Linked DNA regions of Alligator mississippiensis. Each later gene encodes a partner of the first gene's protein in a complex. Links are inferred from orthologs where the notes say so. Each region holds a gene or a part of one and is shown on either strand. Other genes may lie near its edges.

Region 1 (7,284 bases):
GGGGAAGGAGGGTCTTGGTTGGTCCTGCATCCCCCTCCCCTGGCCTAGCCCCCAAGCCCCCCACCAGGGACCTCAGCCTGCAGCCCCCGCAAAGCCAGATCCCTGAGCTCCATGTCTGTTCCCCTGTCAGAGTCCTGGGACCTAGAGGCATCTCTGCCCACAGGTTTCCAGCCCCCCGGTGGGAGGCAGGAGGGGGCTGGCCTGCGGGGGCAGTGAAGCTGGCCCTGAAACCCAGCCTCACATTCAGCTGCCCTGACACTTGGGTCCAGGACCATGGGAGCTGACAGCTTCACTCCTGTCCCCCGCAGTCTGGGCACTCAGGGCATGAAGGGCACCCGGGCCATACCTGTGTGGCGCTGTCTCCGGCAGTCATCCCTGGCAAGGTGGTCCTGGGTGCCAGGGGTGTCAGGGGTCCTGGCTCCCCCACGAGGCTATGAGCTTTGGCTGCCCTGGATCTGCGCATGTGCCTACATGACCCACCATGTCCCCCTCTGTCCATGGCCAGCGTCTCATGGTGCGTTGGTGCCCAGGCCAGACCAGGCCACACATGCGTGTGCGTGCACGTGCACAAGCATGCGTGTTGGGGATGCGGTGAAGCACTCGTACCACACCGGGATCATGCCAGCCGGTGCCTCTCCCTTGCACCCAACCACACCAGAGCCACCCCCTTCTGCCCCAGTGGAGCTGGAGCCTCAGCACCCTGGAGCGGCGCCGTGGCTCAGACCCCGTAGCAGCACCACCCCTGCCCCTAGCACCCCCCTGCAGGAGGGTCTGTCCCAGCCCTCCTTTCACTGCCCATCCCATCTGCCCCCAGACCCTGCCCAGGCTGGCTGTTGCCAGGGGGTGCAAACACCAGTGCCCCTTTTCCCCCTGCATTGGCTCCTGTGCCCCATTCCCACCTCCCTGCTCCCCCAGCTCCCCCACCCCACCCATAACAACCTCCCAGGTGGAGCTGACTGCCCCAGCCAGCCCCCCTGCATTCCCAGCCCAGCCCAGCCCAGCCCTGCCTCATTAGCGCCCCCTTGCCACCACTGCCCAGCTGATCCCGCCTAGCTGTGCACCCGGGACCCAGCCCCCCCCTTCCCCACGCAGTGCTCTCCAGGCTGGGCCGAGCGGGGGAGCATCCCCGGTGCCGGGGGACGGTGGCTCTGCAGAGGCGCCTGGCAGCAGCCTGGGCTGCTCAATAATTCATGGCTGCAGGCTCACTCGCTCACTCACGCATGCATGATGCCCTCCTTCGGGGCCGCACAGTGCCCCCATATGGGGTGCAGGCTCCAGCTAGCAGGAGGGGTGCTGAGTCCTGCCCAGGGATGAGGGCAGGAGTCCTGGCCCTCAGACCCCCCTGTGCTGGGCCCTGGGCCCTGCTCTCCCATGGCCAGTGGAGCCAAGGGGTCCTGCGCCTGGCGTCAGCAAGAGGCTCGGGGCAGCTCTGTATAGAGCAGCACTGCGTCAGGGCACGCGCCCAGAAATGCTGAGCTCTCCATCTGCAGCTCGGGCCGGGGGGCTTGGGTCACCAGTGCTGCTCAGCCCAGCCTGGTCTGAGCCATGTGGAGTCCAAGACAGTGGCCAGGGCAACCTGCGGCCAGGCAGGGTGGGCTCAGCTGGGCCCCCCAGGGGAAACTGAGACTCATGACCCCCCAGGGAAACTGAGGCACAGGGAAGTGAAGCAACTTACCACCACCCCATGGCTAGGATGGGATCTAGGAGTCATGCCCCCCCCGCCCCCACCAGCTCTTTGAACCCAGGAGTCAGAGCCCGCCTGCTCAGATACCAGCCCCCAGCCCCTCCCGGAGTAGGACTGGCTCCCAGCCCCCCTGTCTTTGGCCGCTTCACACCCCCCCACTCCCTGCCTCAGAGAGCAGGCTGGAAGGAGTGGGGGCAGAAGCCCTGGGCAACAGGAGCTGAGCCCAGCCCCCCACCCCCACCTCCCCCCACGCCTCCATCTCCTCTTGGAGAAACCGAAGATGCTGGCGTGTCCCGGGGGCATGCGCTGGCCTTGGCCCGGCACATCCATTAGCGGCGCTGCCTGGGCCCGGCTCGCATTTATGCATCTACTGCACAACAGATAATGGCAGGCCCCCCCACCTCCCGCCCGCCTGGCACCCGGGTCGATACAGCAGAAGGAGTGCGGAGAAGCACGGCCCGCGCTGCTGGGGGTGGGGGCGGCCCAAAGCGGGTCCCTTTTGGGGGGCACAGGCAGGCCGGAGCCGTCGCTGGGTGCAGCTGTTTCTGGGGTGCAGCATGGCCCTGGGGGGGGCTGGAAGTGGGGCCCAGACATGCATGGCAAGAGCTGCTGTGCGGCCCGTTCAGCCTACCCTGCCCCAGCTGAGCCACCCGGGGCTCCTGGGCTGGGGGGGGCAGCTGGCTGCTGAGTCCCTGACCCTGACCCTGACCCAAGGGAAGCTCCAATCAGCACCTTGGAGAGATGCCAGCAGGGCAGGGGCTGCGGGATGGCAGCTGGGCCCGGGCCTGGCTCCGTGGCCGGGTCGTGGCTCCCCCAGGCAGGGCCCAACCCCAAAGGGCTTTGCTTTGGGGCTTGGATGTGCCACTGCCAGCTCCTGGGCCAGCCCAGGCCAAAAAGGGCCTGGCATTGACCTCGTGACCCCAGAGCACTGTGGCGGGCTGGGGCCTGGGAAATCGGGGCCATGCCGGGGCAAGAAGGCCTCACCGGCATGGGGACTATTTGATGATTGAAGTTTTCATGGTGCAAAACCACAATCTCTGAGGGCCATCTCCGGTGTTGGCGGCCAGCGCTCACCGGCATGCGGGGAGCACTAGGGGCTCCTTCCAGCCCAGAAGGACTCGGCAATGCGCCAGCAGCACCACACGTGGCCCACGTCCAGCCCAGAGCTGCAGTCCAGCTGGGGGGGTCCAGGCAGCCCCCTCCCAGGAGAGGGCCTGGAGCCTGAGCCATACAGGACCCTGGGGTGCTGGGTGTTGGGCCCAGCATCGGGGGCTGGGGGCATTCGTGCGCCGCCCCATGAAATGCTCGTGCGCTGTCCCGTGCGCCATCCCGCGGGAGCGTGTGGGCTGGGCTTCCTGCCCCTGCGCCGAGCTGGGCTGGGCTGGGCTGACGTGAAGCCAGATTGGGCACGGAGGCACTCGGCACCGGCTCCCCGCACACCCTGCATGTCTCTCTCCAACTCCAGCGTCTTTCTGCTCAACGAGGTAACAGCCCTGGGGCTGAGAGCTGGGGTCCAAGGGATGAGGGCTGAGCGGGGCCCAGCTGATGTGACCCACTGCCCAGGGCTCGGGGGTGCAGCGGCTGCATCAGGCTGTGATGCCAAGGGCAACCGGCCATGACCACTGGGAGCTACTGACGGCGGGGGGGTGCACAGCTGGGCAGAGGCTGGGGGGCAGCAAGGGGCCAGAGGCATCATAGAGCATAAGGGGTGGCAGCTGGAGGCACGGAGGACAGTGTGGGGTATGGGGGGGGCACAGCAGGGCAGCGAGAGCAGTGCGGGCTCCACCGGGGGGGGGCAGTTCGGGGCAGGGAGGCCACACGGGGAGCTCGGGGGCAGTGCAGGGTCCGGGGGGGGGCAATGCGAGGCAGGGGGCACACGGGGAGCACGGGGGCAGCGCGGGGTCTGGAGGGGGGGGCAATGCAGGACAGGGGGCACGCGGGGAGCACGGGGGACAGCGCGGGGTCCGGTGGGGGGGGCAATGCGAGGCAGGGGGCACACGGGGAGCACGGGGGCAGCGCGGGGTCTGGAGGGGGGGGCAATGCGGGACAGGGGGCACGCGGGGAGCACGGGGGGAGCGCGGGGTCCGGTGGGGGGGGCAATGCGAGGCAGGGGGCACGCGGGGAGCACGAGAGGCAGCGCGGGGTCCGTGGGGGCCGGGCCCCGCTCGCCCCGCACCTGCTGCGGGCGCGGGCGGCGGCGGCGGGGGGCGGCGGAGCGGGTGCGGGCGGCGGCGGGAGGCGGAGCCGGGCCGGGGCCGGAGCCGGGGCCGGGGCCGGCGGCTGCGGGCGGCGGCGGGGCCGGGCATCGCGGGCGGCGGGGCCAGGCCCGCCCCGGGGGCGGTGCGGGGCGGTGCGGGCCGGGCCGGGCCGGGCCGGGCGGGCAGAGGCGCCGCGGGTGCGGGTCTCTCCGGCCCCGTCTATGTCGTTTTCTGACTCCAGCGCGACCTTCCTGCTGCACGAGGTACCGGCGGGGCGGTGCGGGGCGGTGCGGGGCCCGGGCAGCGCGGCCCCGTCGGTGGCACGGGCCGGGTGCACGGGCTGGGGGGGCAGAGGATGCGGGGCTTGTGCCTGGGGGGGGGCAGGCTTGTGTCTGCCCCCAGCCCTGGGCCCCCCCGCAGCTCCCCCATCTCCGCAATGGGGGTCCGGGCTGCCTGGCCCGTGCGAGGGGGACTGAGGCTGGGTCCTCGTGCGAGGGGAGCTGTGTCTGAGCCTTTGTGCAAAGAGGCCTGGGTCTGAGCCCTCGTGCAAGGGGTGCTGCGGCTGGGCCTTCATGCAAGGTGGGCTGTATCTGGGCCCTCGTGCGAGGGGTGCTGGGGCTGGGCCTGTGTCCTCGTGTGAGGGGCACTGCGGCCAGGGCCTTGTGCAGAGAGGGCTGTGTCTGGGGCCTTATGCAAGGGGCGCTGGGGCTGGGCCCTGGTGCAAGGAGGGCTGGGGCTGGGCCTGGGTCCTCGTGCAAGGATGCCTAGGTTCTGTGAGCAGGGCCAGCCGGCCCGTGCAAAGGCCCTCGTGAACAGAGGAGCAGGCTGGTGCCGAGGGGCACTAGTGCCAAGCCGGTGACTCCAGAGGCCAGACTGAGGGCAAGGCCACGGCCCCTGTGCCCCATGCACAGAGCAGCCCTTACCACAGTCACCCGCCCCCCCCACTCCTGCGTTGCCGCGGCGATGAGCCTGCCTCCGCCCGCCCGCCGGATCCGGCCCTTCCCTCTCCCAGCTCTTTGTTTCCCTTGTGCTGCACCGGCTGCCGGCTCCCCGCGCTCCCCCGCGCGCCTCGCCACGCCCCCCCGCCCTGCCACGCTCCCCCCGCGCCAGCCCCACAGGCAGGTGCAGCCAGGTCCTGGCACCGGCGCCGTGCCCAGCCCAGCCCGGCCCCAGCCTCCCCAGCACAGCCCCGACTCCGGCGGCACAGGGCGGCGCAGCCCCGCACCCCGGTGCCCCCCTCCTCCTTGCTGCGACCCCCCCCCAGCAGCTCCTCCATGTATGACGACTCCTATCTCCATGGCTTCGAGGACTCCGAGGTGGTGAGTGGGGAGTGCCGGCCAAGGGGAGGGGGGCGATGGAGCTGGCCACGGCAGTGCCCCCCCAGCCTGCGGGTGGGTGCCAGGGCCAGGCCCCCCTGGTTGGGGCTGGTGGGGGGGCTCCTACCAGACCCCACCCCTGACTGAGCTATTTATACAGCACTATGGCGGAGGTGGGTGCCAGGGATGGCTGGCGCAGAGGGAGGGGGGCTGACAGTTCAGTGCCGCGGGTGCAGGAAAAGGGCCTGGCACCGGTGCTGGGGGGGCTCTGGAGGCCCCCCTCCATACAGCCTGCCGGAGTCGCGTGGCACCAGGACCCAGGGCCATGCGAGCCGTCTGCAATGCTTGAGCTGGCAGGGTCCCACGGACCCGGCTCCAGCTCCAGAACGGGGGGCCCATGCACCACGTAAGAGTGCCCATGGGCTCCTGGGCCAGGCCACGGGTGGCCGTACCAGAAGGCTGGGCAGCTCTTGTCCCCTCCTGGCCCGGCCTGGGCATGGGCAAGCATCAGCCCTGCCACAGTGCCAGACAGGGAGCGTGTCCTGGGGAGGGGGCAGAGGCCACGGGGGGTGCAGATCCAGGGGCCTATAAATATTTCACCACAGCTTCGGCTTCCTTTTGGGGCCGCAGCAGGAGTTGTTCAATTAAGCAGGAGGCTCCCAGCAGGGAGGGTCTGGGGGAGCAGGGTTCAGCTCTGTTCCTCTCTCTCTGCAGCTCCCCATGGGGTGCTTGTCTGCTGGGGTGGCTGTCACCGCAGCCTCCAGGCTGGGCACCAGGTCCCCTTGCCCCTGGCCTAGACCGGGGGCAGGGGATGTTGGGCTCCCGGGAGCCCAGTGTTGGTGCCAGTGGCCCCCGGTGCTGCCCTGTGGGGGGGGCGCTTTGCTCTGCTCCGCAGCGCGTGGGTGGGCACCAGGGGGCTGGATAATCAGATGCAGCCACACAAGCGCTTCCCCCCAGGCGGCCGCGCCTGGCATTTCCCAGGGCATCTGCCGAGCAGCAGGAGCCCCGGGCCCGGCCGCAGGGGGGTGGGGCAGGAGCCAGATGGGACCGGGAGGGGAGGGGAGGCGGCATCTCTGCCTCTGCTTCCCCAGCCTGCAAGGGAGCAAAGGTCACTGCAGGGAGAGCGATTGGGGGGGTGGTACATGCTAGAAGCCCTGAGACACGCCAGTGTCACACAGCTGCCACTCAGGGCCCCGCTCCCACGTGTGGTCATGCCAGTCGCTGGCACCCGTATCCCACCCGCATCAGGCCTGCACTGGGACACACTCATGCATCCCACGCTTGGGCACACGCTTGTGCCCTGGCACTCACGAACACATGCCTTGGGATAGTGGCGGGTGCGGATGTCTGACGCACATCCGTGCGCACGGCTTTGCTCATGCTCACGTGTTGCACTGGGGCATCGACGTGCCCTGGAGCTGAGGCCAGGACTGACCCCATCCAAGGACCATGGCAGGGGAGGGAGCACTGGGCGGGGGGAAACTGAGGCTCAGATGTGACGAAGGCAGCGCCCTGCAGCTAAGCAGAGCTAGAAAACCTGGGAGTTGGGCAAACCCCTGCACTTGCAGGTGGACCCAGAAGTCCGGCTACACCTGGTGTAGCAGCAAAAAAGGGAGGGGGGGGCTGCATCAGGGAGGACGTGGCCTGGGTGGGTAATTGGTGCCTGTCACGCCCAGGGGTGGGGGGGTGGCCCAGCTGCTTCTGTGCCCGAGAGCAAAGGGCTGGGCCCACCGAGCTGCGGGTGCCCCCCTACCCTGGGCTGCCAGGGGGTGGGGGGAATGTGGTGGCAGCTGCAGCACTGGTTCTGCCCTGTTTCCCTGGTGCCAGGAGCTGACTTCACCTCCCCAGGGCAGGCGCGAGCCGGGATTCGCTCCCGGGGCTCCTGGGGCTCAGCCTGCTCCTGGCACCTGGGAGATGCAGCAACCGCACTCGCTGCCACACTGCCGGGGGGCTGGCTGCTGTGCACAGGGGGCCATGGCTGATGCCCAGGTGCCCTCCACCACAGGGTTCAGCCGACTCCTACACCAGCCGCCCGTCCCTGGACTCCGACGTGTCCCTGGAGGAAGACCGCGAGAGCGCCCGGCGC
Region 2 (7,599 bases), about 720 kb from region 1:
CCTCCGCTCTGCCCCTGTGTGACACCAGAGACTGGGCACGATGGATCTAGGGTCCCCCCGCCACCAATCCTCCCTTTCATCAGGGTGCTGGGTGCTAATAGCCACTGTGGGTATCTATAGTCTGAACTCAGGCAGGTGGGGGGGGGCAGCTCTGGGCTAAGGGGTTCCCTGATGCCCACCCCATCTGTCTTCCTCCACCCATGGGCATCCATGTCCCTGACTGCCCCCCCCTGCACTGACACTGCCCACCTGTCCCCAGTGTCACTGCTGGGGTGTCATGTCCCCTGAGCCCCCCCAGCCTGGGCTAACGGGGTCTCCACCCCCCACCAACAGGTGCCAGTGGGCTCAGAGGCGCAGGGCGTGGTGCAGCAGCCGTTCCAGCAGCAGGTGCTGGTGCCTGCCAGCCAGTCGGTGCAGGGGGGGCTGCAGGCCGGGGGGCTGCCTGTCTACTACAGCGTCATCCCCACGGCCCAGCAGAACGGGACCAGGTATGGGACAGGCTAGCTGAGGCTGTGGTGGGGTTAGTCAGCCAGTGTGGCCCTGCTGGGCTGGGAGGACCTGGGGCGGGGTCTTGCCTGTGACCAGGGGATCTGTGCAATGGGGGCTCACACAGGAGCCCTTCAGCTCTCTCCCCAGAAGCAGCCGCATTCCTATCTCGAGGATGCATGAGCTGAAGGTGCTGCGGGTCCTTGTGGGGGGTGGGGGAGTTGGCTGGTGTTGTCCCCTGCTCCATCACCATCCACCCCCTTCTTTGCAGCTCGTCTGTTGGGTTCCTGCAGCCGCCCGGCTCCGAGCAGTACCAGCTGCCCCAGTCCCCATCGCCCTGCAGCCCACCGCAGATGCAGCAGCAGTATTCAGGTAGCGAGCCCACCTCATTGCACCCCGGGGGTCCCTCTGCTGCCCCTGCCTCAAGCAGGGGCCAGATAGTGATGCCCCCCGCAGCTGAGCCATTGCCAGGCCAGGGGAGTTGGGGCCACGTTGCACCAGCCCCTATCTCACCCCCCCCCCCCCCCCAATGTCCTCCCAGCAGGGGTGTCGGCGTCGGGGCCCGGCGTGGTCGTCATGCAACTCAATGTGCCCAACGGCCCCCAGCCCCCCCAGAACCCGCCCGTGGTGCAGTGGAGTCACTGCAAGTACTACGGCCTGGATCAGCGGGCACAGAAGCCCGGAGAGCTATACAGCCCCGACACCAGCGCTCAGGTACAAGGGGGAGCGGGGGGGCTGGGCCCAACGCATCCCTTCTGTGGGGAAGCCCTGGGCCCTGACCCACTCCCCCCCCCCCGCCCCCCCCCAGGCCAGCACCCAGCTGAGCAGCCCCATCACATCCCCCACCCAGTCCCCGACGCCGTCGCCTGTCACCAGCCTCAGCAGCGTCTGCCCGGGGCTGAGCCCCCTCCCCGTCCTCGCCCAGTTCCCCCGGCCCGTGGGCCCAGCACAAGGTAGGGGCAGGGGCAGGAGCTGTGGGGCAGCTGCCCCCGTGCAGGCCCAGGGGCTCTGGGACAAGGAGGGAGCCCCTAGTCTCTGCAGGAGGTGGGGCTTGGAGCCCAATGGGCCAGACCATTGGTCAGTCTCTGCAGGTGGCAGAGTTTGGAACCCCATGGGGCAGGGGCATTGGCTGGTCAGTGCTAGGGGGTGGAGTCTGGAGCCCCATGGGGTGGGGCCATTGGCTGTTCAGTGCCAAGGGGTGGGGTCTGGAGCTCCATGGGGCAGGGGCATTGGCTGGTCAGTGCCAGGGGGTGGAGTCTGGAGCCCCCTGGGGTGGGGCCATCGGCTGTTCAGTGCCAAGGGGTGGGGTCTGGAGCTCCATGGGGCAGGGGCATTAGCTGGTCAGTACCGGGGACGGAGTCTGGAGCCCCATGGGGTAGGGCCATTGGCTGCTCTGTGCCAAGGGGTGGAGTCTCCAGCCCCATGAGGTGGGGCTATTGGCTGGTCAGTGCCAGGGGGCGGAGTCTGGAGCCCCCTGGGGTGGGAAGCACAGGCTGCTCCTGTGGTGGGGAGCTGACAGGGACCCCCACCAATCTCTGCTCCCACCGGGCAGGCGACGGGCGCTACTCGCTGCTGGGGCAGCCTCTGCAGTACAACCTGGCGCTGTGCCCCCCCCCGCTGCTGCACAGCCAGCCCAGCTACACCTCGCACCAGGTACGGGCGCTGGGCGGGCAAGGGGTAGCTCCTACCATGGGAGGGGGCATCTTGAGGGATGGGGGGGAGCTTGGGGTCACCACTGCCCCCTCAGGAGCTCTGGGGAAGGGGGGACTGAGCCCTGCCACCCTGGCTAGCATGGGGGTGGGGGGCAAGTTGGCAAGGGAGTAGGGGGCAGCATCTTAGGGAACACCTCTTTTAACTCTTGAAGAGCCAGACAGGAATGAAGCACGGGAACAGGGGCAAGAGGCAGGCCCTCAAGTCCGCATCCACTGACCTCGGGACCAGCGATGTAGGCAAGTGATCCCCCCCCCGGGGTATGTCTGGGAGGGGCACGGGGTGTAGAGGCTGGTACCTGGACTCCTTTTCCCTCCCTGCCTAGCCAGGGTATCTTGGCCTGTCCCTCTCCTGCTCTGTGCCTCAGTTTCCCTGCCCACAAAGCTGCGCATGGGGCAGCTTCTGCCACAGCTGAACCCTAATGCATGGGCAGGGAATGCCACCCCCTCCCCCACTGTCCTTGCTTCCAGCTTGGGTAGGGGGCAGGGCATGGTCGGGGGCTGGGAGCCAGGATGCCTGCGTTCTCTCCTGGCTGGCTTCACCCTAGGAGCTGGCTCAGTGCTTGCTATTGGGACCATCCATGACACCCCTGTCCTGCAGGACAGCTGCGGGCCACGTTGCAGCGCCATGGTGGAGCCTCTTGCTCTCTCCGCCCCCTGCTCCCCCCCCCCCCAATGAAACTGGAGCCAGGAGGGGGAGTTTGCTGCGCCCGGGTTAATATTAGCAAGGAATTCAGCTGGCCGGGTCCGGGGCCAGCCGGGGCCACAGGTGGGGGTGGCTGGCACGGGCTCTGCTGGGATTTGTCCCCAGCCACAGCCGTCACAAAATCACCGCCGTGCCCAGGCCTCGCCCACTGCGCCGGGGGAGAACCCAGGCGTCTGGGCTCCTAGATCCCCTCAGGGCCGGGGATGGGCCCCCCGTGGCCCCCCTGGCTGACACCCGTGTCCCCACAGTGCCGGGCCGTGTGCTGGAGGTGACGGACCTGCCCGAGGGCATCACGCGCAGCGAGGCCGACAAGCTCTTCACGCAGCTGGCTATGGCGGGCGCCAAGATCCAGTGGCTGAAGGAGACGCGGGGCCGGCGCGGGGCAGGCGCGGGGGCCGGGGACGGGCGCGTGGGGCCTGAGAACGGGCGGCACCCCGACCTGGCGGCGCTCTACACGGTGGTGGCCGTGTTCCCCAGCCCCCTGGCCGCCCAGAACGCCTCACTGCGCCTCAACACGCCGCTCAGCCGCTTCCGCCTACGTGGTGCCAAGCGCCACTACGACCTGCGCGTGCTGGAGCGCGCCAGCTCCCAGTAGGGCCCCTGCCGGGCTGGGGGCTGCGCTGGACTTTGGCCCCCGGAGCCTCCCCGCGCGCCTCTGCTTTCGTTCACCCCGTTTCTTTCTGGAGATATTTATATGGACGCGATGAAGAGGAGACAGTGATTTGTTCCTGCCACTGCCCTTTGATTTTGGAGTGAGAGGTCCTCGCCCGGACCCCCATAACCCCCCTGGCCTGGCCTGGTTCCCCCTTGACCCAGCCTGGACCCCCCACAGACCCCCCCCTAGCCTGGGCTGGAACCCCCCAGCCTGGCTTGGTCTGAACCTCCCCACATCCCCTGTGTCCTGGTTGATCTCCCACAGCTCCTGGACACCCCCAAGCCTGGTCTGGTCTGAACCACCACCCCCCAACAGACCCCCTGGCCTGGCATGGATCTCCCAAACCACCCCTAGCCTGGCCTGGGACCCTTGCCCCCACAGACCCCCACAGCCTGGCCTGGACCCCCATAAACACCTCAGCTTACAGCTCCCAGATCTCCCCCCCCCCCCCCGAATCCCCTGGCCTGGCCTGAACCCAACCCCACACACAGCTGTGATCCCCACCCCCAGGCTCAGTCTGGACACACATCCCACCCTGGCCTGTCCATGCAGCCTCCAGGCCATAGCCAGGACCCCAGCCCCTCGCCTTTCTTTGAGCCCGTCACAGCCAGGTCCTGACCCTACAACCCTGGTCCAGACGCCCCTCCTCCCAAAGCCCCCAGACTCTCCCAGCCTGGCCTGGACCCTCCACCCCAGCCCAGATACCCTCTCCCCACCACCACCGCCACCACCCCTGGGCTGGCCCTGATGCCCCCAGCCCCATGTCCGTTGCTCTGTCGGGCGCCGCGTGGCCGCACTGGGTTGGTCACTGTACATTTTATTTAATGGGTTTATTATTATTATTGGGGGGGGGCGGGGGGATTTTTTGATTTTTAAATATAAAAAGAAAAAAAAATCGTCTGTCACCAAGGCGGTCTCCGAGTCTGACCCCTGGCCTTTGACCCCATCTGCAAGGGGCATGGTTACACTGTGGGGGGTGGAGAGGAGAACTGGGTTTGACACCCTGCCCCCCTCCCCCCATGCAAGGAGGGCAAGGGGGTGTGACCCCCATCCATGGGGTTATGATCTCATGACCCCCCCCCCCCAAGATGACATATGTCATGGGCTGGGCCCTGGCTGTGCCCCCCCCCCCATGGGGCAGTCCCCCAAGCTGTGCCCTGGCCCCCATGAGCGTGGCCAGCCCCCGCCCAGCTCGGGTTTCGCTGTCATGCGGGCGCAGCTGTCCTGGCCCATCCGCGGGCACCGCCTGGAGCTGGAGTGAGAGGCCCCTGCCCAGCCCGGCCACAGTGTGAGTGCCCCCTGCACCCCAGAGCCCCTGCACCCCTCCCCGTCACCCCCCTCGGCCTTACGAGAGCTGCGGGGGCCCCAGGGGTCTGCTGTCTGTCCCTGGGGGTGGGAGAGGCCCATGGGGGGGGCCAGCTCTGGCGCTTTCCTTGTACAAGCGTCTGGGAGAGCTGGCGGGGAGACCCAAAGGTGGGCACATTGCAGGGGGGGGGCAGTGACACTATCCCCCAGAGGGGGGAGCCCCTGCAGCCCTGGCAGTGCCTCTCCTGCCCCCCAGCCCCAGCCATGCCCCGCACTTCTGACCCGCAGCCCCCGAACAGTGGGACTGGGACTGGGGGGCCAGGTAGATCTTGGGAGTGGGGGGCACAAGAGCAAGGGAGCCAGAGCCGTGACCCCTACCCTGCCTTGGCAGTATGACGGAGAAGGAAGCACTGGAGCCACCGGCCTCACCGGGAGAGATGGCCGAGGGCCAGGTACGTTCTGGGGCCAAGGGGTCCTGGGCAGCCCTAGTGGGGCAGGGCAGGGCCTTGCCACTGCTCCCCCCCCCCCACTTGAAGGGCCCTGGGAGAGTGTTATTTGTGTCTTCCTAGCAGCCAGCATCTCCCCAGGGGGCCGAGTGGGCCGGAGGGCTTGGAGCCTGGATGCCTGGGTTGTACCCCGGCCTGGACGAGGGGGAGCGCCTGGTGCTTTAGGGCAGTGGGAGCTGGTTTCCGTGCCCAGCTGGGGAAGGGCTGTGGGGTCTCCTGGGTTCCACCCCTGCCTCCATCACTGCCATGCGGCCCAGGACACTCCCCCCATCTTCTGTGCCTCAGTTTCCCTGCTGAGCCCCATCTCCCCCAGATCCAGCGGCTCCGGCACCTCTTCCAGCGCAAGGCCCCGGAGCCGCCGCCTGAGACGCCCGAGCCGCAGCCCGAGAACGGGGCCCTGGTGAGCCCCTCGGGGGGGCCCCTCTACTACATCTACGAGGAGGAGGAAGAGGAGGAGGAGGAGCCCGAGCCGCCCCCGGAGCTACCGCCGCCCGTCAATGACAAGCCCCACAAGTTCAAGGAGCATTACTTCAAGAAGCCCAAGTTCTGCGACGTCTGTGCCCGCATGATTGTCCGTGAGTGGGGACCTCCTTCCCCTACCCACAATCCCCTGGGGCAACTACGGGGCCACTCGGCCCTGTCCACAATCCCCTGGGGAAACCATGGGGCCACTCAGCCCTACCCAGAATCCCCTGGGGCAACCACGGGGCCACTCGGCCCCACCCAGAATCCCCTGGGGCAACCACGGGGCCACTCGGCCCTGCCCACAATCCCCTGGGGCAACTACGGGGCCACTCAGCCCTGTCCACAATCCCCTGGGGAAACCATGGGGCCACTCAGCCCTACCCAGAATCCCCTGGGGCAACCACGGGGCCACTCGGCCCTGCCCAGAATCCCCTGGGGCAACCACGGGGCCACTCGGCCCTGCCCACAATCCTCTGCTCTGGCTGGGTGTCCGGGGGTGCTGGCAGAAGGGGGCTCAGGGCTGGGGTGGGGGTTGCAGGGGCTGCAGGGGACCAGGATCTGGGGGGTGCAGGGCACCAGGGACCAGGGGCTGGGGGACCGTGAGGGGCCGCAGGGCACCAGGGAACAGATGCTGGGGCTGGGAGGCTGCGGGGGCCATGACCTGGGCCTGGGGGGCCATAGGGTACCGGGGGCTGGGCCTGGGGGGCCGCAGGGCACTGGGGACCAGTGGCTGGGTGCTGGGGGACCAGGGCTGGGGAGCCAGGGGCTGGGGCTGGGGCTGGGGGACTGTGGGGGGCTGCAGGGTGCCAGGGGCTGCAGGGCTGGGGCTGAGCCGTCCCCTCCTCACAGTGAACAACAAGTTTGGGCTGCGGTGCAAGAACTGCAAGACCAGCATCCACCAGCACTGCCAGTCCTACACCAAGATGCAGCGCTGCTTCGGCAAGATCGTGAGTGCGGGACCCCGCATAGCCCAGGCGTCCGGGTGCTGCCCCGGCCTGCCAGGGCCACCACCTTGCAGGGCCGGGGGCAGAACCCAGGTGTCCGGGCTGGCCCCTAACCCCTATTCCCCCGCAGCCGCCCGGCTTCCGGCGGGCCTACAGCTCGCCCCTGTACAGCGACCAGCAGTACGCCTGCGTCAAGGAGCTGCTCTGTGAGTACCTGCCCCCCCCCGGGGGCGCTCGGGGACTCCCCAGGCCCTGCCCCACCATGCTCAATGCCCCCCTGGGGCATCCCCCCCCCCACAGCCGCCACCAACCGGAGTGACCCCGTGTTCGAGACCCTGCGCACAGGCGTCATCATGGCCAACAAGGAGCGCAAGAAGGGCCAAGAGGAGAAGAAGAACGTGAGGGGGCATTTGGGGGGTGCTGGGGCACTGGGGGGTGGGGGGACATCCATCTCCCCAAGGCATCGCGCTGTTGTGATGGGCCCTCCACTGACCCCCAGGGCATTGTGGGAAACTCCAGCCTGGGAGTAGGCTGGGGCAGGGCCTCCCCCCAAGTCTGAGAGGCCCCAGGAACCAGCTGCCCAGAGCTGCCTCGCCAGTACCCAGAATCCCCTGGGGCAGCCACGGGGCCACCTCCCCTTACCCACTGTCCCCTGGGGCAGCCACGGGGCCACCCCCCCTTACCCACCGTCCCCTGGGGCAGCCACAGGGCCCTATTCCCCTTACCCACAATGCCCTGGGGCAGCCACGAGGCCACCTCCCATGAGCCACAGTCCCCTGGGGCAGCCATGGGGCCACATTCCCCTTACCCACAATCCTCTGCT
Region 3 (7,941 bases), on another chromosome or scaffold:
AAATAAGCCCAGTTCCCTTAGTCTTTCCTCACAAGCCATGTCCACCAGTCCCTGAACCATTTTTGTCGCTCTCTGCTGCACTCTCTCCAATCTGTCCACATCCTTTCTGTAGTGGGGGGCCCAAAACTGGACACAGGACTTCTGATGTGGCCTCCCCAGAGCTGAATAGAGGGGAAGAGTTGCTTCCCTTGACCTGTTGGCAACACACCTATCAATGCAGCCCAGGATGCCGGTAGCCTTCTTGAAACAAGGACACACTGCTGGCTCGCATTCAGCTTATTGTCCACCGTCACCCCCAGGCACTTTTCTGCAGAGCTGCTGCCCAGCCCGTCAGCCCCCAGCCTGCACCGGTGCAAGGGATTGCTCCATCCTAAGTGCAGAACTTTGCACTTGTCCTTGTTGAACCTCATGAGATTTCTTTTGGCCCAATCCTCTAATTCCTCTCATACATGCCATGCTGTAACTGTTTTGATCTCAACTTTTTTCTTACCGATCTTTACTAGTTTGGCCACTCAACCCTCTTACACATCACAGAGGTCTTGCTTGATGGCTGTAAGATGGGAAGTCCTGGGAGCTTCCACTGGAAGATTTTGCCTGTGCTATTCTATCAGGGAGCAGGCTCTATGCCCCACCACTCAGTCTGTCCACAAAACCAGTGGAAACTTCATGAATCATAGAAGTCGGGTCGGAAGGGACCTTGTAGATCTTCAGGTCCGACCCCCTGCCTGGGCAGGAGGAAAACTGGGCTCAAATGACCCCAGCCAGGTAGGCATCAAGCCGCTTCTTAAAGCTCCCCAGGGTAGGAGCCAGCATCACTTCCCTTGGAAGTTGGTTCCAGATCCTAGCCGCCCTGACTGTAAAGTAGTTCTTATGGATGTCTAATCTAAACCTACTTTCCAACAACTTGTGGCCGTTATTCCTTGTTATCCCGGGGGGTGCTAGGGGAAACAAGGTCTTCCCCAAACCCTTCTGGTCCCCCCTAGTGAGTTTATAGACAGCCACAAGATCACCCCTCAGCCTTCTCTTGTGAAGGCTGAACAGGTTCAGGTCCTGTAGCCTCTCATTGTAGGGTCTGCCCTGATGTCCCCTGGATCATGCGGGTAGCCCTCCTCTGGACCCTCTCAATGTTGTCCATATCCCTCTTGAAGTGCAGTGCCCAGAACTGGACACAGTACTCCAGCTGCAGCCTGACCAGTGTTGCGTAGAGGGGGAGGATCACCTCCTTGGCCCTACTTGAGATGCACCTATGGATGCACGATAGGGTCCGGTTAGCCCTGCCGACCATGACCTTGCATTGTCGGCCCATGTTCATCTTGGAGTCAAAAATGACTCAAAGATCCCTTTCTGCCTCCATGCTCTCAAGAAGGGAGTTTCCCATCTTATAAGTGTGCTGCTGGTTACTACTGCCCAAGTGCAGCACCCTGCACTTGTCCGTATTGAAATGCATCCTGTTTTTGTTAGCCCACCTTTGCAACCTATCCAGGTCTTTCTGCAGTCTTTCCCTCCCTACTAGTGTGCCCACCTCACCCCAAATTTTGGTATCATCAGCAAATTTGAACGGGTTGCTTTTCACCCCGTCGTCCAAATCGCTGATAAAGAAATTGAACAGCGCAGACCCAAGGACCGAGCCCTGGGGGACTCCGCTGCCCACTTCCCCCCAGGTCGAATATGACCCGTCCACCACCACCCTCTGAGTACGACCCTTCAGCCAATTTGCAATATATCTGACCGTGTAGGCATCGATGCCACAGTTGCCTAGTTTTTTAATGAGGATGGGATGGGAGACAGTGTCAAAGGCCTTGCTGAAGTCCAGAAAGACTACATCCACAGCGACACCTGCATCCAATGCTTTTGTGACCTGATCATAAATGCTGAAGCTGGGGTTCTTTTCACAGAAACCCCAGCCCTCCAAATTCTCGCTAGGCTTCCTCGGCTCCACGGTATCCCTGTTCTAGAGACTTGCACTAGCGTCCTCTAGAGCACCTTTCCACAGAGGCAGGTATTTCACAACATTTATCAAAAGTACAACCATGCAGCCACTATTGAATCTAGCAGTATCAGCTGAGGTGTTGAAGTCCAGTAGGGTTGCAACAATGAGAGAGTCCCATTCACTATGTATTTCTGTATTTCACCATGTTACAATTTGGCCGCAGCAATATCCTTTATTTTTCTGTGTGTGGGAGAGCAGTCTGATGGCAGGGCTTCTCTCCCTAATTTTCAGTGGCCTGGTCCATGCATTGTATGGGAGAAGATGTTTTCTGTGCATCTGCTTTCTCTGTTCTGTGTACATTGCAAGGCTTTTTCTGACCAAAGAGTCCCCCCGCAACTGAAAGTCCCTGCTTGGTGTAAGGAAACCAGCTGCTTTCTAACCAAAGGAAATGTGTGGATTCAGGGCCATAGACCTCTGGAATTTGGAAGGATTGCCCCAAACACTTTTGTTCGCATGGGTAAAATCCTGTTCTTATTGACCTGTCCGTTTCCCTCTGTTACTGGGAAGGCTCCGTTACCTCTAGAGGCACCATCATGGCCAGAGGGCTTGGAAGAAAAGGAGCACAATCCACTGTGCCTGTTGAATTTGTTAAGGCACTGTTAGGTGCAAACTCAGATGCGGACACCAGTGACAAGAAGCAAACAGTACCACGACAGCTACTCCTGATTCCAGGGAAAGAAAAGTACTGGGGCTTTAGGAAGTTTTGAAGACAAAGACATTTTTAAAGCCACAAAAAAATGTTCATGGAAAATTTCATATTTTTGAATGAACAATCTGGGTTTTAATAAGGCTGTTTTTTGAAGGGAAAAAAATGTTTAAAAACATTGGTAGTGTTAGACCGGGGTGGGCAATTATTTCAGCTGGAGGGCTGCTTAACCAGTTTTGGTGAGCTGTCGAGGGCCGCATGGGTAGCCCACCTCTTGATGCTTGCCCCACCCCCTGGTCGCCATCTTCAGATGGAAGTCCCGCCCCTAACCCCTGACCTTTGCCACTAGAAGTCCCTCCCCTTGCCTGTGATGTGTAGCACTGGACAGAGCCACGTGCCTCTGGGTGCCAGCACCTGCCCTGGGCACAAGCATCCTGAGAGCCCCCGCTTGCTGCTGCTGCTGCTGCCAGTGGGGGCTATGCACCATGGTGGCTATCCCACCCTCCCTCACACTTCACAAGTGCCACACACCCACACCCAGCCCTTACAACCTCCCCACATACCCTATTTCCCCCCACACATACGGCCACACACCCTTACAAACCCCCCACTCCCCACCATACACACACCCCCACACCCTACCTTACACACCCCCACACTCCACCATACACACATACCCAATACCCCACCATACCCATACAGCCCCACACCCCACCTTACACACATACCCCTATCCAACCATACACACACCCTCCACACAATATACAAGACTACAAAAAGGCTGCCCTGAACTTTGTCCTGCAGGATTGGGCCCCACATGCTCCCAGGAGCGGCAGGGGCCCGAACCTGTGGGATGTCTGTTTTACCCAGTGAAGCAGAGGAGCTGTGCCAGGACACTCCCAGCACAACTGATCCACTTCATTTGCTGATGCCTGTTTACACCTTAATAAAAATCTACTGCAGAACAGCATCAATGTAAGACATAGCGTGATGGTACAGAACAACACACCAGGCTAAAATCCTCCATAAAACAAGTGCTGCTGGCCAGCTGACAAGCACAGACTCAGTCACCTGCATGCCAGATATGTACAGCAGCATGCCAACAACTACTGAGCAGGCTCCCTGCCAGCCACAGTATTTAGGGTCAGTTGAGAGGCAAGCCTGAAAGAAAAAAAATCTGCTGCACTGCTGAAAAGCATTTCAACCTCTCATTGTTTAGCCTATATCCCTCCCCGCTCCAATCCCACTTAGACTCTTGCTGAGAGGGCTCTCTTTCAGACTGTGACAATAAAAACTAATGCTGATGAGACGATGCTTAGCCAAATTTCTGTCCTTTCCACTCATGGCTAAATGTTTTTCTGGATAGCAAGCACCTTAATACATATTTTCCAGTTAATGTGCATCATTTCAAAATGGCATTTTCCATTTAATAACTGACCTAAATTTTAAAAGAAAAGAAGGGCTCAGACAGAATGGTCTGGGTTAGATTTAAAAAAAAAAAAAAAGAAAAAAAAACCCTTATTTTTTTTGTTTCATCAAAAAGAATTTTTAAAAGTTTCTATTGTGATTTCAACTGAAATGTTTTTTCCAGTACTTGTTTTAACCACCAAATTGAAAAATCCATTATTTATCCAATCCTATCACAGTGGAGATATACCTGGATTACAAAGTAAAAGTTCGGTTCCATAATTAGATCAAAATCCTGACTTCTACAAAGTTTTGAGGTGTTTGGATACATTTGCACAATTTGTGTTTTTGCAAACATTGACTTGAGTCGCGCATTCCCCCAGGATTGAGAATGCCTGCAGACAAGGAGGAGATTGATTTTGGATCCAATATTGAATTTTTTTGAATAAAAGTGAGCTCATGCTTATCTCAGTTACAACAACAGATATTTTACATACTAACTGGGAAGTTAAAAATTTACACCATTGACTGTTCCTGGTCACATTGTGAGTCAGGCGGTCTTGGTCTTACAACCGTGAATTTAGTTATACAGATCTAGTTTTGCTTCCAGTTGGCATATGGACCTCCAGAACAAACCAAGGAGGAATGAACCAGTAACCTGAGCTGCAGCAGCAGTTACTTCACTTATTACGTGCATTAAAAGAATCCCCACTCACAACAAGTCCAGTCATCCAGTCTCCTGATATATCTCAACAGCTGTACTTGTGGCCATATCCATCCCAGCCCAGTCTGTTCTTCTTTTTTGCATCACAGGGCTGACATTTGAAAATGCTTAGACATGCCAAGACTTTGGGAGACCATTTGAATAACTTGCAATGATCTTCCATGCAAGCAGATCAAGGCAGACTCAGCAGTAATCACCAGGCAGAGGCTGCTCTATGTGTTCCAACACAGTCCAGCCATGGACGAAGGCAAAACACTGAAAATCCGGCTAACTTTCTCCGTTATTTTGGTTGGTGTTGCTTTATTGTTTGCAGCTGTGGTGACTGATCATTGGGCAGTGCTGAGCCCTGAAGTGCTGCACTACAATGCCACCTGTGAGGCTGCTCATTTTGGGCTATGGCGGCTTTGCACAAAACGGATTTACGTGCAGGATACTAAAGAGAAGGGCTGTGGACCGATCAGTCTGCCAGGAGGTACGTGTCAATGCTCGTTTCACATCCCTTCCCAGAAATGCCTGAGAGAAAATGCCACGTTATTGCTATTCATGTCTTTTAGGAACCTACAAGACATATTGAAAAGGAGATATGGTTCTTTGTTCGCATTGCACTTAGTCTTACAAGATTTCCTGAGTGAATTCGGTTCCATATTAGCATGAAAATACACCTTATTTTCATATTTCCTTGAGGCTTATCTTAAGTACATGATGTACTGCCACAGTACATATCTTCAAGTATATTCAGTACACTGCCTTTCAGTAGCTTCTGTACAGAAAAAAAAAGAATATAGTTCGTATAACAGATAGGAGATGGCAGAAAGCATAGACTGAAATCAGGGAAATGGGACATTTTCTCACTGGTGTTTTGATGAAATCTTCAATAGGCCCAGCCCCAAAACACCTACACAAGCCCTTATTCAAGGAAAATGTATATAATTTTCACTGTGAGGTTTGCCTGTATGAGGATTATAAGACAAAATCTAGTGTCTGCAGTTAGCTCAGAAGAAGAACTTCCTGGTTCAGATAACTTCAAAGGGACAGCTTGTGCAGGAAGGATATTAACATATCCCCAAGCTACCCTGAATAATTATCATTGCTTCAGACAATGTGCAACTTTGGACAATCATACAACTTTTAATGTATCATGCTAATGTAATGTCCTCCCTGGAAACCATCTCCCTCATTTAAATGCCAAAAATCCCGTAGACTGAATTAGAAATAATATATCATCAATTTATTGGGTTTCCTTAAACTTCAGTGACTGAAAGCAAACATATTCCAACATTATTGCTAAATGAAGTTTAATCAGCTGCCTTTCTTCATGACAAGTAGTAACATACGTTGTAAGTAGCCCTTACTGCAACTAGTAGGCATGGTAGTCAAGTAGGTGATTTCCAGGGAGAACATTACATTAGCATGATATATTAAAAAGTCGTATTATATTTTTGCTGGATGGAAAGTCAGCAACATTCATGCAACATGTGCTAATACCCTACTCACAACTTCACTAAGCTGTATTTTAAAGAGGCTTGCCATGAATTGGATTATTTGCCAAGCAGAAGTAATAGGCTGCTTTGCTTGTTAGAAATACTATTTGAAGCTAAGGTTAGATTTTAATATATTTGTAAATATGCTATGAAATTGCATAACGATAAATCTCAGTTCATGTGATTAATTAATTTATTATTAGAGATCTGATCCGCAGCTTTCAGATCCAGGCTTCCACCAAATTTGGAGCTGTTTGAGTCTAGACGACTGGCTGTAGGCCATATCTAATATGCATAATAAATGTGTTGTAATATGTATGTGCAATCCTAGTTTTGCAAACATTAGAGCTTCTATGTTTAACATAAAAATAAGGATTCATGGGAACACCAATACTGCATGTTGCTGGATACATTTATAACTTATAAATACCCAGCTGTCTCTATAAAACAGATTCTGAGTCACTGCAGCAGAGAAATGACTGCTCTTTTTGATGGACATCACCATGTGCTTGCATGGTTGTCACATAGCTGAGCTATCCATCCCTCTGCACTGCCTTCCTAATGTGTCCAGTAAACAAATAGGTAATTATGAAAGAAGTGAGCCAGTCCTCTGCAAAGCAACTTGAAAAGACTAGACATAATCTTTGTATGCTGCACAGGTCAGCACTTGGCAGTTATTCATGAGATTTGATTAAATTTAATCCCAACCACCTAACAATTAATTTTCTAGCACCAGTCATCCTACTACTGGAGGCTTTGAAAGAGTCCGTCCCCCACATTTTTTTTTTTTTAACAACTGTTAATAACATTCTCATATCTCCACTATAAGGTAGATATTACTGTACCCATTCTCCATATAGGGAATCTGAAATAGGGAGGGGTGGACTAAAACTAGCCCCACATATAGTCCATAGCAGAGTTTGAAAAGAAACCCAAGAATCCTGCTTTTCAGGATTCCCCCTTATATTGTAGGTAATATTGCCATTATTGTAATGGTATCACACTCTTGAAAAAGAGACATTCCAGTTGTCAAGCTTGGGTTTGTCAAGAAAGTTTAGCAGAACAAACAGACAAGCGGGGATTTTGCTTGTGACCATATCAGTAGATCTTTTTTCCCCCTTAAATGTCATGAGATATTAAATCCTACACTATCATCATCATCTGAAAAATTACAAGTATTTACTACTTCATTAATAGCCACTTACCCAGTCATACTCACGGAAAAGATGGATGGCATTGCTACTATTATTTATTTGTTGAGTTCAGCACGGTATGGCATGAAAAGGAAGGGCTTGGGGATTGTAAGCTAAGAAAAGGTCTTGTGATTCAGGCAAAGAGAATTAAAATTACTTAAAAAAATATGCTAATAAACTAGAAAGGGTTCGTAAATTTATCCAAGGAATGACAAGATTTAGTAGTTGGAAGTTTAAGTTAGACATCAGGTTTTAAACATGTGAGCCTTAACTGTAACAGACCTTTGGAATAACTTACTTGAGGATGGGGTAGACTCTTTATCATGACAAGTCTTTAAATCAAAATGGGATGTTGAAAGGTAAATCTTATTCCTTATCCCCCAGAAGATATGGGCATGGTGTAGAACATCACCAAGTGACTTTTATAGCCTGTGGATGCTGGAGGCAGATTGATAAATGAACGCTGTTCTTATAAAAAAATCTACAAATCTACAAAATTG

Evidence for each region. Proteins that work in one complex are often made in the same cells at the same time.
Region 2: CACNB3 (region 1) and STAC3 share a complex: the UniProt entries of both Homo sapiens proteins name them as parts of the calcium channel complex. The link is inferred for Alligator mississippiensis from reciprocal best matches to the Homo sapiens genes CACNB3 and STAC3.
Region 3: CACNB3 (region 1) and CACNG1 share a complex: the UniProt entries of both Homo sapiens proteins name them as parts of the calcium channel complex. The link is inferred for Alligator mississippiensis from reciprocal best matches to the Homo sapiens genes CACNB3 and CACNG1.

The regions. Positions count from the first base shown.
Region 1 is NC_081838.1:6,572,989-6,580,272, forward strand, and holds the start of CACNB3 (voltage-dependent L-type calcium channel subunit beta-3), read left to right. Parts: upstream 1-4,254; 5' UTR 4,255-5,156; coding exon 5,157-5,201; intron 5,202-7,203; coding exon 7,204-7,284. UniProt on the Homo sapiens protein: Regulatory subunit of the voltage-gated calcium channel that gives rise to L-type calcium currents. Increases CACNA1B peak calcium current and shifts the voltage dependencies of channel activation and inactivation.
Region 2 is NC_081838.1:7,291,141-7,298,739, reverse strand, and holds the start of STAC3 (SH3 and cysteine-rich domain-containing protein 3), read left to right. Parts: upstream 1-4,549; 5' UTR 4,550-4,644; coding exon 4,645-4,844; exon of another isoform or gene 4,845-5,252; coding exon 5,253-5,313; intron 5,314-5,680; coding exon 5,681-5,942; intron 5,943-6,681; coding exon 6,682-6,779; intron 6,780-6,906; coding exon 6,907-6,982; intron 6,983-7,076; coding exon 7,077-7,174; intron 7,175-7,599. Other genes in the region: R3HDM2 (R3H domain-containing protein 2), read left to right, coding at 334-488, 758-858, 1,028-1,200, 1,295-1,439, 2,039-2,139, 2,351-2,435, 3,150-3,496. UniProt on the Homo sapiens protein: Required for normal excitation-contraction coupling in skeletal muscle and for normal muscle contraction in response to membrane depolarization. Required for normal Ca(2+) release from the sarcplasmic reticulum, which ultimately leads to muscle contraction.
Region 3 is NC_081831.1:5,752,566-5,760,506, forward strand, and holds the start of CACNG1 (voltage-dependent calcium channel gamma-1 subunit), read left to right. Parts: upstream 1-4,891; 5' UTR 4,892-5,004; coding exon 5,005-5,239; intron 5,240-7,941. UniProt on the Homo sapiens protein: Regulatory subunit of the voltage-gated calcium channel that gives rise to L-type calcium currents in skeletal muscle. Regulates channel inactivation kinetics.